Linked DNA regions of Nothobranchius furzeri. The protein of the gene in region 1 purifies or fractionates together with the protein of each later gene. This does not show direct contact. Links are inferred from orthologs where the notes say so. Each region holds a gene or a part of one and is shown in the gene's direction. Other genes may lie near its edges.

What was found. Proteins that work in one complex are often made in the same cells at the same time.
Region 2: the proteins of gsk3ba (region 1) and myosin-9 purify together in Homo sapiens (affinity purification with western blotting; 4 studies listed by BioGRID, with this or other methods). This does not show direct contact. The link is inferred for Nothobranchius furzeri from reciprocal best matches to the Homo sapiens genes GSK3B and MYH9.

Annotation. Positions count from the first base shown.
Region 1 is NC_091754.1:24,449,898-24,457,937, forward strand, and holds the start of gsk3ba (glycogen synthase kinase-3 beta), read left to right. Parts: upstream 1-3,346; 5' UTR 3,347-4,153; coding exon 4,154-4,241; intron 4,242-4,985; exon of another isoform or gene 4,986-5,691; intron 5,692-8,040. UniProt on the Homo sapiens protein: Constitutively active protein kinase that acts as a negative regulator in the hormonal control of glucose homeostasis, Wnt signaling and regulation of transcription factors and microtubules, by phosphorylating and inactivating glycogen synthase (GYS1 or GYS2), EIF2B, CTNNB1/beta-catenin, APC, AXIN1, DPYSL2/CRMP2, JUN, NFATC1/NFATC, MAPT/TAU and MACF1.
Region 2 is NC_091747.1:73,544,337-73,552,202, forward strand, and holds the start of myosin-9, read left to right. Parts: upstream 1-2,551; 5' UTR 2,552-2,685; intron 2,686-5,101; 5' UTR 5,102-5,106; coding exon 5,107-5,292; intron 5,293-5,375; coding exon 5,376-5,516; intron 5,517-5,590; coding exon 5,591-5,747; intron 5,748-5,854; coding exon 5,855-5,882; intron 5,883-6,225; coding exon 6,226-6,316; intron 6,317-6,743; coding exon 6,744-6,764; intron 6,765-7,866. UniProt on the Homo sapiens protein: Cellular myosin that appears to play a role in cytokinesis, cell shape, and specialized functions such as secretion and capping. Required for cortical actin clearance prior to oocyte exocytosis. Promotes cell motility in conjunction with S100A4.

The DNA of each region.
Region 1 (8,040 bases):
TTATTGATTTTGTCCACAAAGAAAGACAGAAAGTTCTCACAGTCTGTAACAGAGAGGATGGAGGCTGTAGGAGAGACAGGAGAGACGATGCTGCTGATGGTGTTAAACAGCACCTTGGGGTTCCCTTTGCTCTGGGACACCAGGTTGGAGAAATAGGAAACCCTAGCATCTCTGACTGCAGAGTTAAAGGATGTCAGAAGATCCTTTAGGTGCAGCAGATGGACGTGGTTCACTGCAGGAACTTATCTGGTTCTGACAGGACAGATGTTGTCCAGAATGGAGAGGCAGTGCTGGTTAAGCTGAGAAGTTAAGGAATCTGGGTCGTTATCAGAAGAACAGGGTGGATCAAAAGCAGCAGAAAAATGTCTAGCTGTGCTCTCATTAAGAAAACGATAACCAACCATACGGCGAGCAGGAGGTGGGGATGCAGAAAGGGACAAGTTAAAGAAAATGCAATGGTGATATTAAATATAAACATCCTCAGGACAAACACTGCAAGTCATCTCATGTCTGAAAGAGTTTGCACCATGGAATGTATAAACGTGAGTGAGATATAGGTCTGAATAAGGGAAATGTAAACATAAATGATTTTTGGTATTACGCCAGTTTTATTTTTAATTATATTTTCTCTGTTTTATAATCAGAGGTTGCCCCCTGCTGGCCACAGGACAGAGTGCACTGGCTTCAGTTTAATAACTCAACACATTTTCAATATAAATTCACACAGGAAGTGTTGATAATAATATGGATTAAAGCCTGTTTTGTCTGCAGACACAAAACACAGTTTGACAGCAAACTACTAAAGCTTCTCTGAGCTGCTATAATGCAAAATTATCTTCTCAGAGCTCTTTTGAGATAAAAATTAAATACACCAACATGCATTTTCAGATAGCAAGTATATCCTGACAGAAAAATATAGAAATACATGGTCATACCATGTTTTCTTGGATAATTTATCATAAATGACCTCAATTTTGACTAGAAAATACATTTTGCATTAAAAAAATGTCTGAATGGTTTTATTACAACAATAAACTCATTAGTAAGGATTTACCAAGGTGATAAATCTAGTTAGAATGATTAGCCTAATGAATTAGACCAAATTCTTGCTTTGCAAAAGTTGTTTATATATTCACATATATAGGATGGCTTTGCAGGCAAGAGGAGGTTGGTATTTGTGTTTTCTTTTTCTTGTTGTAGCTATTATGTCGCCCCCTGCTGGTTGTGATAAAGAATGCCGGTAGATCAAACCTCAGTGACTTCAAGTTCCCACTTCGACATTTTTCTATTAAATTGTGTGTTTCATGCTAAAATAATATAATTATGATTATTTTTCAAAAGAGAAAATGTTCTATCAATCAGATCTGATACAATCCCGTAGTTTTGTACTGCAATTCATGGGCAGAACAGTTTGTGATGCGAGGCAAGGCAGCTTTCATACACAGAGGCAATTAAATGTGCTTTCCATTAGCAGCAATAGCATGAACATTAAAATCAATGCGACAGCACAATTAAAAAAACACAATTTAATTTCAGATTCAAGAATTCAAAAAGACAAAGTTAAAGGGTGAGCAGTTCCAGGGCAGAAGGTGCATTCAAATGCTGATGAATACACAAAGGTTTTCAACTTTGATTAAAAAGTTACAAGAGTTGGGGAACATTTGAGGTTATGAGGAATCCGATTCCATCTGTGTGCAGCAAAGTAGCTGAACACAGCTTTGCCCTATTTGGTTCTGACCCGAAGTTCTACAAGCTGATCTCAGAGCCCTGCCAGGCGTATGGGAGGAGATCTGACATGTATTTTGGCCCCATGCCATTGAGTGATTTATAAACTAGTAGAAGCACTTTCCAGTGAATTCTGTAGTTTACTGGTAAACAGTGTAGTGAGGACAGATTTTTAAAATGTTTCTTTTATATTTATTTCTTCATTTCTTCTAGCCCAGACTGATCCTCTCGCCCACAGCCATCTTTTGCCTTTCTGTGTTTTATCTTTATGCTTGTGGGAGAATATGCTTTGGCTGGGGGAGGTGTTGCCGAAGGGAAATCTGTGTCTTGCGTTACTTCAACTCAGCAGCCTGTTTTAAAATGCTGCTGAGGTTTATTCTGCATGTGAACCATTGAAGGACAGCCTCGGAGAAATTCCTTTTGATGTGCAACACAACAGAGTATAAATAGATCACACAAAAGACAGACTGGTGCCAGCCCACTGTTTACTGAGAAAAAGGGAAGACTTCATCTTGAGGTAAGAGACTTTCACTCTGTTTGGGATGAGTAATAGTTTCACTCTGAGAAACAAAAACTGGTTTTCCATTACAGAACTAATCCTGATGAATTTATATGGTCATTAACAAATCACATATTTGACTGTGCCATCTTTCTCTCTAAAGGCCTCATACCAACTTTCATGCACAGTAGAGGGGGTGTGATGTTTGGAGTTTTCTTGCAACCAAAAGATCATGGCACAGTAGCAGCCAGACGTGAGGTTGTCTTTAAAAATGTCAAAGTATCCCAGAGTCTAATGTGGGATCTTCCACCACACAGCTGAACTTTTCCTTTTGACATATAACGGAGGCATGCACTGATGATTGTGATACTGAAGCTGCACGGACCTCCTGTAGTTCAGGGTCACGAGAGATACGTGTAATCCCTTTTAACCTACCGCAGCTTTATAAATACTTTACATATCATATCAGTTACAAATATCAATTCAGTATTTGCCAAAAATCTAATTATTTGGCTCATTTGACTGCATACGTTAAAAACTTATAAGCACTTCATATTTTAAGACTTAAACTATAGCTTGGACAATTTTCATGCAGAACCTCTCTAAAAAGTTATACTGAAGGGAAACTTACAACTAAAATTGGAAAAACTGAGCAATAAATTTACTTGATTTGCCCGAGGGTCGCGTGGGAAAGAGAAAAAAAACGTGTCCATGAAAGGCAAGGGGGGTAGGCTTTTGTAACTAACATAGCAACAGTGCTGCATGACCACCGGTGCTCTGTGACAGCTGGGGCATTTTGAACTGACAGCCGGTTTTTTTTTTAGCTCCATTGGTCGAAAAAGCCATCAATCCCGGTGGTTGCTCCGCCCCTTACCCCCCTTCAAGGCATGGAAAAGTCTTTGAAGTCATGAGGGCGGAGCTGAACAAATAATGCCATGTGGTGCTCAACACCTGCGTTTCTATTGGTCCACTGCGCCGGGGAAACGCCTTTTTCTGAAGGATCCCATCTCTGATTGGTTGACCATGCCGCCCCAGTTTTAGCGTAAGCGCGTTCACGTTTTTTTAAATTCTCGGTCACGAGTTACGTAAATAGCGTGAACTTCTTACGGTGATGGTGGAGCTAGCTTGGAAACCCTTTACAGAAACAGCGTACGTTACATGCGCAGCGACAAAGACTGCGAGCCCGAAACCTATGGGGAAGAAATAAAAAAAGACATTCGGTATCGTCGCACTCTGTACCTTGAGACCGTTATTTTTCGAGAAGCTAGCCGCCCCAGAGCCTCGGTTGTGACGCCGAAATTTGACGACGACGAAACCGGATTCAGTGTTGGTTTGAAGTCGTTAATTCGTTAAAGAGGACTGTGACGACTGGCAATTTTTCCGTTGGACGGTCTGTAGGCTTGGGTATAGCGGGAGCCGCCATGGCAGTCGGGTCATTGAGCCTCCACATCGGGATATGAAGAGGAACTGCATGTGTCCTGAGTCGTCGAGAAAACGACACGTTTGTCTTTGGTCCACGTTGGATTAACATCCGAGCCAACCCTCCTTCATAATTGTGGAATTCATACGGAAAATAATCGTTTTTTTAGCAGGGGCCACAGGGAGAGGCCAGATTCATGACTATTTTAGACGGAGAGTCTTCTGAGGCCCGTTGAAATAAATCCTGGAGTTTAAGAAGGAAATATTTTCTGATTGACCGTTGTTGGGAAAGAAAGGACTGTTTCAAACGAATTGATTTTTAAAAGAACAAAAAGTAACGCAAGGTACCGTAGGATAAAAAGGGGGTCTCTTTCTGCCTGCCCTTCCTGTGGATCACAGATACATATTCATTTACTGTCAATCCTTTTTTGGATGAGAAGGATCGGTGAATCGATCAGCTCTTCCGTTTAGTCAAAGCCTCCCAGTCGAGAGAATCAAAGGGATTGGATCATGTCGGGTCGGCCCAGGACCACATCTTTCGCCGAAAGCTGCAAACCAGTGCCGCAGCCCTCTGCTTTCGGCAGCATGAAAGTCAGCCGTGAGTACACCTCTGATTCTACAGTGACTTTTCTCAGCACGTACCAGGCCTAGTCAGTCTGGACAACACGCACCCCGCTAACAACCCTCTCATAAAAGGTTGGACCTGACAGAAATATGCTCACACCGCCCCTGTGCCGCTCACCGCTGCACTCTGACGTACCGCTCCGGAGCCGGTCAGCCTAGTAGGCCGCGCCGGAGCAGGGCAGGGCCGCCACGGGGCTTGGGGGGCGAGTGTTGGCACCGGCCCAGTTCAGAAACCATGCCTTCTCCAATTACTGCAAAATCCGGTCTAATTATTGTATAACTGACTTTAGATTGGATCGCAGAGCATTACTACACAGCACCAATCCTATGCATAACGGAGTTAAAGCGATGGGGCTGGTTTATTACGCAAATGGAAGGTGCGCCCATCGTTGACTCATGCGAAATTGACCAGCTCCTAGATAGACCTAAGCTAAACGAGCCCTCTTCATGATGACAAGCTGATCGCAGATGCCAATGCCCTCTGGCTAGAAAGTCTGGCACCTTTTAGCTCTCATTTACGGCATCTGCGACAATTTTATAGCATCCTAAATTACTCTTATCCACCACCTGCACAATTCTCCCCAATTTAAACACTATAGTTAGAAAAAAATAGCAATTTTGTACTACAGTTTCCAGATACTACTAATTTAATGTTTAATGTCTTCATTTAAAAAAGCAAATCTCTACTTATTTGAAGTAATAGCTTACATTTCAATACCTTGACACAATTCACAGCAGCTGCACCCATGTTCCACCTTTTTGCTCGTTTAGGTGTGTGAAAGGGGAAAAAGTGAACGTGTTATGGAATGTGGATGGTGCTTCGGGCTGTGATGTGATCAGGATGTGTGTGAGCAGTGTTTAGGCCTGAGGCTCACTATTGGGTCTCGGTTCTGGAAACCACTTAATGGATTATGACACACAAAGAAGAAAATGCACTCCAGTCCCAAACCTAACACTTGTTGTGCATCATATACATGCATGAGTGTTTAAGAGCTTCCTGTTAGTGTGTCCAAAATGAAAAACAGTATTGTCAAGGGGTATTTGCCAGTAAACGAGTTGACTGTATGAGGATTCCTGTTGTCACAATGTAAAGCTTATTGTAAAACATATTTGTACTATTAGCTGTATTTTTCTTTCAACAGGTCTGTCTGGTAAATCAACGTAGAAACTAGGGATGTAAGAAAATATTAATATGGCAATATATGGTGATATTATTTTACAGCGATATATCGATATTCAATATATGGTGATATTATTTTACAGCGATATATCGATATTCAAAAGCTTTGTATCAATTTTTTGGAAGAATTTACATTCTTACATTCAGTACATTTGTGTATTTTCTTTTCTTTTGGTGCAGTTCAATCACCGACTGCTGGTTGGCAGCAGTGTGCAATGGGCTTTGTTTCCTCCGTTGACTTGTAACCCCCAAATTCCACTACCTCCGCTCCGGTCCGCCCCCGCCCTCCGCTGCCGCTCGCTTCCGAACTCAATTTTTACTGCTACCCGCTCTACAACGGCTCCGCTCCGGTGCGGAGACCTGAGGTGGGCAAATAAGCATGCGCGGGATTTTCGAGATCTTGCGATACAGTCCGAGCAATAAACGCGGAAGTTAGATCCAAACACCCGTTGTGTGGGAGAAGCATCGACATGAACTGTTTAATCTGCCTATCATTTGTGTTGAGAGATCAGCAGTGTTTGGATCAACAAAGTGTGACTACTTTGATAGTGGAAACTGTATTTATGGCTTACTTTTGTGCATTTAAACTTCAGCCGCCACTGATAGTTGTTAAAAGTTGTTAAACTTGTGCATATGAAAGAAAAAACGCCTTTTGTTTATCGATGTATTGTGAAAAACGGAAGTTGTGCCCGCTCCTTTTCCTGTTGGACGGTTGTGATTTCTGTCCATTTACTGCGGAGGTGCTCCGGCGTCCGGCGAAAATAGGATCGATTCTTTTTTTGCCGGAACAGAGGACGGCGCCGCACTGCCGGAGCACGGCCGCAGTAGTGGAATTGCTCTGATTGACTAAAACGGGACCGATTTTGCTCCGGCGTTCGTGTCGGAGCGCAGCGGAGCGGAGCGGAGGTAGTGGAATTTGGGGGTAAATCCCTCTGTCATTTTTCAGATACCTAATTTGAAACATGTTAAGTATCAGTTTGGTCTGTTGAATTTTCCTTTAATAGATTCAGTCGAAAAAAATCGCCAATATCGTCTGACTGAATGTATCGCAAATATATCGCGATATAGTGTATTGTCTCTCCTGTATCGTGATACGTATCGTATTGCCAGAATTTCACCAATACAAATCCCTAGTAGAAACCATTCATGAGATATGTGTGTTTGGTTTTGGCTTCTTTTCATTGCTGTCGTAATAACAAATTTAAAATTGGGCTATTGTGACTTTCTTTAGATACAATTTGGTCATTTTTTGCTTTAGACTTGATGAACAATGTTCAGACCATTTTAGTGCTCTTAAAGATCAGACGCACTATCATAAGGATTGTCAGCATATCAGTTAATAATGAAGACAAATGGGGCTGAGCAATAAATCGAAAATGTATCACTATCAAAATTTCAGAATCTAACCAATTTCCTTTTCCCATGTCAATAAATGTGATAATAATAAAAATGAAAAGATGTGTGTAGTTTGGCGACGTTCAACTTAACACACGTGACAGCCCCATCTAGTGGACAACTTTTTATTTCTGCGCTTACATGTAGTTATCGTTTATTTATCATTATTGAGGTGAAATCCTAAATATATTGTGATATTTATTTGAGGCCATATTGCCCAGCCCTAAAGCCAAAAAATACCATCCATCCATTTTCATCTACTTATCAGAGGTCGGGCCACTGGACCAGCAGCCTAAGCAGAGAAGCCCAGGTTGGAATATGGACTGACCGGTAAATTAAGAACTTTCGACTCAGCTCTCCAATCCTCTCGTTTGAAACGCCTGGACCTCATCTTATAAAAATATCTGCCAAATACTCATTTTTAGGTTTATTACTGTAAAATTTGGTGTGTGACGAGGAAAGATTTCAGACTATTGACACACAATGTTTTCCAGTAGATATCTCATTACTGATGTTATTTTTAAAGTGTGTATTTAAAAAAAAAATTATCGACAATAAAAATTAATATTTTTCTGGACATTAAAGCCCATAATACTCTGACATTATCACTTACATACATTTTCACTGTTGTGGGGAAAACTTCAGAGTGTTTACTTTAAAAGGATTACCTCAACCATGCCTCAAGTCCAAATGGTACGATAGCTTTTATTCAAATTCGGTTATTCTTTTTCTAAAGCCTCTTGGGCTGTAATGGCAGGAATGTTACTCCTCCAACTGAGGCAGGACCTCGTCCCTGACCTGTAGAAGGCATTCTACCCTTTTCAGACTCAAGACCATGGTCTCAGATTTAGAGGAGCTGATTGTCATCGCAGTTGTTAGCTGCTTCACACTCGGCTGCAAACTGCTGCAGCGAGAGCTGGAGATCACAGTCTGATGAAGCCAACATGACCACATAATCTGCAAAAAGCAGAGACCTGATCCTTAGCCACCAAAATGGATCCTGTTCCATATAGTGATTTTTTTCATAGAAAATCATACAGTTCCTTAAGTAAAAGGTTTTCATGAAAAAAAGGTCATGTTCACTGTGGATTCATGTAATATTTTTTCAGATATGATTGGTCATTAGGAGTTTCGCATGCATGCTAAATGTGACCATTTTCTTCAACTCATATGGCTGCATTAACTGAAAATAGATGGA
Region 2 (7,866 bases), on another chromosome or scaffold:
GAGGTGTGTTGTATTTTTGCAGAGGGCAACTTTAGCATAAAAACCTCACATTAACTCCAGACAAATCTCTAGTCCCATTTAAATCACTTTTAGACAAATGATCCAGCTTTAACACTTTTTAGAGAGTGACAGAACCTACACTGTCAAGAAAGTCTCGACATTCCTTGCAGGACCTCACATGTCAGAGATTTAGGCCTAGTCCACACGTAGCCGTTTAAAAAAAAAAACGAACATCCGTCCCTCCAAAAACTTGCATCCACACCACCTCGTTTTAAAAAAAACTCTGTCCACACGTACCCGGATAAATACGTTGTTAAGGACATGCCAGACCTGTAGGGGGCAGTACTTCCCCCGTTCTTAACCTCGTCCTTCGTCTGTGGTCTTCCGCAAGGAGCAGTAATTCCGCTTGCAAAAACAAACAAGCAAAAAGCGCTTGGACAATTGATAAAGCGAGCGCAGCTCTGAGGGCATCCATGCTGTCGGCTAGTGTAAACACAGGTCGCACACGTGATGTCAGCATTTTTTTGTCGTGGAAAGTGACGTTGCGGACCTTAAAACTCCGGTTTTGTCTGTCCACACGCAGACACCCAAAACGGAGAAAACGCAGATCTTCACTTTGGCCGGAGTTTTTAAAAAGATCCGTTTTCGTGTGAAAGAAAAATATCTATGTTTTGGCAGATCCCCGGCTACGTGTGGACAGGGCCTTAGACAGAGATCCTCAAAAGTGATGGTGTAATACCAATGCCCTATACACTGGCGCTACTGGCTACTGATGCGGGTGGTGGTCTTTACGTGTGTTTAAAAGAATTGCAGCTTGTGTTTATTTCCGATGATGTTCATTATTTCGTCTTGTTCCACAAATGTCCACGATCCTTTCACAGCAGTTAAAGTGGTTTACAGTGAATGCGTTACTTGCCCCAATGACAGTCCGCAGGGTCCTTTACACCCAGCCGCAGTCCTCGCCACACAATAAAAAACTGTTTGTGCCATCACAGCAACACCAGAGTCTAATCTGTGTTGGCTTAAGTAGGCTGGTGCTTCCACAATCAATTTGACCAATCAAATGAGGCCAAGCCTCCTCTCATGTATGCAGAAAGAAAATGAAAGACCCATATGGCTCCTACAGATGGACTTGCATCCATTTGGTCCAACCTTGAAGATGGCACGATCCTACATACCAAGATCTTAAACAACTAGCACTCACACCATCTGTTGTGCACGACTCTCAGCTGCTAATGTGAATATTTAGCTCTGAGGTAGTGCTGTTTGTGCGGCAGCCATGTTATCTCAGTTTCAGCAGAGATTCAGCTAACAGACAAGCAAACTGGGACAGATGAGTCTGAAATGGATCTTTTTGTAGAACAACGATCGGGAACATTGAGGTGGAGCAGTAGGAGATTATGTAGAGGATTAGCTCTTCTGCAGAAATCTTTCATTGCGAAAAAAGCTAACCCGAGTCTTTTATTTTGATCATTGGCGGTTTTAAACAGGGGCCTGGGCCCCTATAGAACTGGCCCTGGCCCCTGTTATGGCCCCTGTGCTGAAGAGATCGGATTTTTCCCCCCGCGCTGCCTCGGAGACGGGAACTAATGCGCTGCAGCGTTTCACACGGAGCCTTTAGAGTGCAGCACACTCTGTGGACAGAACTGTTTACCCGGTGGATTTTTGAATAAAAGATTAAGAATAGTTTAAATGGGACCCAAAGAAATTCTTGAGGACAACTAACGGAAAAGACGCTGAGAGACGAAGGCAAGCAATACAGTTTATTTTCCTGACATCAATGAATTTCCTTTGGCAAAATTGTGTACAAGCACAAAATTAGTCATATGGCGACGACAAAAAAGAATTTTGATATTGCCCTAATTTTCCCCTTTTTTTTCTTGCGCCCCCATGAAAAAATACTGGCCCCACTGTGGCCCCCCTGGAAAATTTGGCCTAGAACCGCCCCTGATTTTGATATTTGGAATTGATGGACTAGTTAGAACCCCATAAACAGAACGGTGTCAGAGCTTCCAGCTGTTGCAGATGTTTCTATGTGGACTCCATCAGAAAGGTTAAGAGTTTTAAATACTGGGACTGACTTTTTAAATGTATGCCCGTTAAAAAAAAAAACTTTTTTGAGGAATTTTTGCGCAGTACGAATGTCACAAATCACCATAAATTAAATTAAGCATTTTTGATAAAACGAAACCACGTTTTTGAAGCCCATTGGGAACCGGAAAAACGGGCTCGCTGGTTTTTTATTCCCCTTTCTGTCTCATTTGAATATTCGGTGTGTGTTTCGGTGCATAGAGGTGTGTTTATACACTGGAGGTAATCATTCAGCTGCATTTATCTGGCAACACGTAATTTGTTTCCGTGTTTTGTGATTTATTACATTCACCAACGCGTCTAAAAGTAAGTTAAAAGTGAGAGTTAAAAGCACCCCTGTGCAGAAATCCCTTCCGTGCTCCGTGATGCCATTGAAAGCAGCGCGCGCAGCCGCCGACAGGTGGGCGTGGCCACGAGCTCACCTGAGAAGTGATAAAAAGTGAGCAGCTGAGCGGCGCGCGGAGTCCATCCGGGCTAAAGTCGGGCTCCGAACAGTTAGACGGGCTCTCTTGGCTCTAGGGGACACCGATCGAGACGTCAGCCGGAACCGAGAGCAGAGACGGAACCAGGAAGAACTCAGCTGCTGAGATCCAGGTGAGTGGGTTTCTTCTCCTGCAGGAGGGACATTTAAATATGGGGATTTCTGCAGCTCACCTGCTCCAGGTGTTCTGGTCAGAGGATGTTTAGAGCCAACAACCCTTTTTTTAACCGTTTCAGCTAAATTTGGTGCAAACTTGAGATGAAAGAATTTATTTCACTTAACACCTAAAGTGACACCAGAAGATGCTGGTTTCTGGTTACTACAGGCATGTGTAGATTATGGGATGAGCATCAGTTTAGTCCTGAAATGAGCGGAGCCCAGTTCTGGTTCTGGTGCTCAGACAGCAAGCAGGGCTGGTCTGTGGCTTCAGTTATCTACAATCAGTGACGGACTTCCTCAGCCAGGCCGGGTTCAGGCCGAGCCTGACTTCTGTGAAATGAGTCTTCCTCTTTAGGTTCATCATCACAAACAAGACCTGCTTCATTATAGTCTGCAGGGACAAGAGGACCTCACACCAGTCTTGTGTGTGTGTGTGTGTGTGTGTGTGTGTGTGTGCGTGCGGGCGAGCGTGTGCCAGGATAAGAAGCAGATTGGCAAACAGCCGAGATCAGTTCAGTGGTGATGCTGCAGAAAACGTGCCAAGGAGCACAAAGGATTAGCGGTGCAGACCGTGCACACACCCTTAGCAGACTGCAGCAGCTCCTTTAGTCGTTTCAAAGAGCTGCGGGAGAGTTTGTGTAACTTCCTGCAGAAGTTAGTTCAGCAGCAGCAAAACCACAAACCCTCATGAAGCATCACAAGTTCTCACACAGATGAAGCGTTTCTGGGTCGGTGCTGGTGATCTGGACGCTGCAGGATGTCAGTCCTCTCCCTCTGATCTCCAAGAGTCTGAGCTCATAATGAACTTAAGGGAGACACAGATGACACCCTGTGCACTGATCCCTTTATCCCTCACTCTATAAACACACACAGACACACACTCTTTCATCATCCATACGTGGAAGTAGCTCATCTGAATAAATATTTGTTCTCCAAGGACCCAGCTGACCGTCCAGAACATAGAATTTTATCTGATGTGGGGCTGGAGGGGTTGTAAGGGTGTGGTCTGGATATGGCATGTGCCCAGACCTGCTCCAACATTCCTCCACCTCCAAAGCACCAATCCAAGGGTCTCCATCAGAACCTTCTTACAGTTTGAACAGCAAACGCCAGGAACACGGAGCAGGACACAAAGGCTGCTCATTAGCTCTGGAAGTTTGAAAAGTGAACGGATGGTTGAAGATGACGATGAGGGGTTGGGAATTTGTGGAATTCTCTATAATGAGAAGGTGAAGAAGGAATGTCGTGGAAATGGAGAGGAAGAAGAGTCGTGTTGAAGACTTAAAAAGAGTAATTTAATGGACCTTAGCTGTGGAGCGTCATCTGTGTGGAGTGTTGTCTCATTCCAACCAGCTTTGGATAAAAGATGCTCCGTGTTCACTCAGAAGGATTCAGTGGAAAACTTCAAACAGCTGTTTTAGAAGATGTGTCCAAACCTGTCCCGTGCCTCCCGTGTTTGTGGATCGGAGTGCACACGCCTCAGCTCTGTGTGTACACGAGGAGCTCAAAGTCATTATATAAACTTGACACCTCAGGGTGATTTGAGTCTGCAGTAATAACAGCTCCCAGTATAGATACACCGAAGCTCTTCAGCTGTGCTAAATATGATTAATCCTCTGTTTCAACAGGCAACAGCCTCTCTAATGTAACAAAAACACTCGGCTAACAGGAAAACGACGGATAAAGCCGAACACGTCTGATTATTGGTGAGTCAGAATAGACCCAGAGCTAAGGCCATCTGCGCCCAGAGTCTCGGCCACAGCCACGTTGTTTCTGAGACCCTAAACGCTTAGCTCGTCCGAAAAGTCATTAGTGGTTGCAGAATGTCTGCGTTATGATCATATCTTTGATGCGGTCTCCTCCCACGCTCTCCTGTAGCAGAAATCTTCATCTAGATGCCGATTTGAATTAAAACCCCAGTCTGACCGCATCGCCAAGCAGCCCTGGTTCCTGCCTGAGCACGAATGTTTTTGTTCAGTCCCTCTGACTCATCAACATTTAGGGATTTATTTTCAGGAAACTGCAAAGTTCTGGTAATTTTAGATTTGAGATATGAAGCAATTTGATCTAATCACACACACAGAAACCTGGTGGCAAATTCCTGAGCGTCAGACGCCGGGTGGAGCATCGAGTAGATTTTACAATCAAATCTTCTTTTGAGAATCTAAAACTGCCTGAATTAAATAGAAATGGTGATTTTTGTGGTGTTCACGTGTAAAATTTATAAATAATGATCCTACCTGTTGTGTAGCTTCCTGAACAGCCTTTGTTTAGAGAAATGGAGTTTCTTTTTGGGACTGATGAGCTAACTACTAGTCTATTTTCTTTTGTCTTGACTCATCTGATTAAACTCTGTTTTGCGTCCTGCAGCCACCATGACTGATGCAGACAAGTTCCTGTATGGGGACCGCAGCGAGGTCAACAACCCCCTGGCTCAGGCCGACTGGGCCTCCAAGAAGCTGGTGTGGGTTCCCAGTGAGAAGGTGGGCTACGAAGCCGGCTCGCTGAAGGAGGAGCAGGGAGACGAGTGTGTGGTGGAGCTGTCGGACTCTGGCAAGAAGGTGAGGATCAAACCTCAATTTGTGTTTCTGGAGTCTTGTCTGCGGCAAATGGCAAACCTCCTGCTTGGTTATTTAAATCTTAGGTGAAGGTCAACAAAGATGATATCCAGAAAATGAATCCTCCCAAATTCAGCAAGGTGGAGGACATGGCAGAGCTCACCTGCCTGAACGAAGCCTCCGTGCTGCACAACCTGAAGGAGCGATACTACTCGGGACTCATCTACGTGAGTGTTCCGATCCGTTGCTGCTCACCGGATTCAGAGGTTCTCTCTAACGTTGCCATCCCGCTGTGATCCAGACGTACTCCGGTCTGTTCTGTGTGGTGATCAACCCCTACAAGAACCTGCCCATCTACAACGAGGAGATAGTCAACATGTACAAGGGCAAGAAGAGACATGAGATGCCCCCCCACATCTACGCCATCACAGACACGGCCTACAGGAGCATGATGCAGGGTGAGACGGCGTAAACCGCGCCCGTTATACATGATGTTACCGTTAGCTAACGACTGAACTTTAGCACATCTTCATCTTTCATGAACCGAAACTTCTCTCTCTAACAGATCGGGAGGATCAGTCCATCCTTTGCACGTAAGTCTCGTAAATTATCTTCTCAGCTCTTGTCAAAAGCTTCACGAACAGCCTCCGCTTGGTGAACTAGAGAATACGTTCTATGGGACTGATAAGCTAACGGCTAGTCTAAGAACAGCCAAGACTGGTGTACTTGTGCCTTTAAACAGTTTTCATGAGGTACTGTGAAAGATTTTTTTGGTGTGTTTTAAGAAGGTAGCAGTTCATGTTAGCGTAGCTATGCTAGGACTAGCCGTTAGCCATTTCTCCAAATTCCATCCAGGAAGATATTTATGATCAAGATTTTTTACTTTTCTGTTTTGGACATGGTTTTTAACATATTTTTATGATTTAATCCCCGCAGTGGGGAGTCTGGAGCCGGCAAAACGGAGAACACAAAGAAAGTCATTCAGTATCTTGCACACGTTGCTTCATCCAAGTCTAAAAAGGACCAGGTTAGTAAAACACAACTCGAGAGTGGAAATGCTCCATCGTGTGTGTGTGTGTGTGTGTTGTGTGTGTGTGTGTTGGAACATTCCTGTTTCAGGCCCAGACGTGCTGCATTTCCTAGTAAAGCAAAGTGTGTGTGTGTGTGTGTGTGCGCGTGTGTGCGTGTGTGTGTGTGTGTGTGTGTGTGTGTGTGCGTGTGTGTGTGTGTGTGCGTGTGTGTGTGTGTGTGTGTGTGTGTGCGTGCGCGTGTGTGTGCGCGTGCGTGTGTGCTACTACTCTAATGTGTGGGTTGTTTTCTCAAGATGTGACATGATAACCTACATAGAAATTTTCATTATAAGCTGTCGGTTAGCGCCACGTCGCCGCTCCAGTGATGTCACAATTGTTTGAAACTTGTTGAGTGTTTCTTTGTTTTTCTCACCTTCTCTCCAGGGCAGTGCCGTGTTATCACATGTGAGTTCCCCTCTCTGACTCCACAAGTGTTCGCACTAACCGAAAATGTGCACTTGTCTGTGTGTGTGGCCTCTGGGTCGGGGTCAGCTGGTGGCTTTTAAAACGACTCACTCACTTCCTGCTGATGAAGTCACAGCCTCAGATCCCCTTTCTCTCAAGGCTGAGCTCACAACTGCATCACAACCTGAACAAAAAAACTAGAGAAGTGCGAAAACCAAAACGACTCGTTTTCCTCTGTAAAACCACAACCTGTCCTTTTTCGAGTGCTTCCACATGAAGCGTCGGTAGTTTTAATCCCATTTTGATCAGCGTCCGCACAAAATGGCATGGAGTCAGAAATGAAGAGGAGATTTGAGCTTTTTTATCAGGAGTTATAAACTAAACAAAGATCTAAAATGTATTCCACATGCATGTTCATACATGATGGTTTAATTCTTTAAACCTGGAGCACAGATCAGCTGTTTCATCTGAAGCAGGGGTGGATCTACAAAATTATTCATGGGGTGGCAGAAGAGGGGCAAACATTTTTCTAGGGTGGCAATACATATATATACACACACACATATTTATATATATATATATATATATATATATATATATATATACATACATACACACACACACACACACACAAACACGTTTTCCTTTTTCTTTTCCCAGGATTTACATATTCATTTGTTTTGGGTCTTCATTTAATAAGCTTAAAGGCCCATCACGAAAATAAAACGCATAATAAAATTATGTTCTTCCTACAACAGCTGAATGTGGCAGTTTCCATGTTGCTCAGCAAAACAATTTACACATTCATCAAGGTCCAAAGATTTTGCCCTTTTTGATTCAATGCTGAGTACAGTCTAGCTTCATAGTCTTTTCTCTGTCAAAGGAGACTGCAAATAGGTCTTTATGAGCCAGAGAGTTGAAAAACTTTGATTTTTCTTGAATTTATAGCTGCCAGCTGGGGTGGCAGCAGGGGTAGCAAGGCTTTCTTTTAGGGTGGCAACTGCCACCCTATGCCACCCTTATAGATCCGCCCCTGATCTGAAGCTTCTCTCTGCACCCACCAGCTCTGATGACTGTTCTGTGTCATTAATGAATGCTCTCT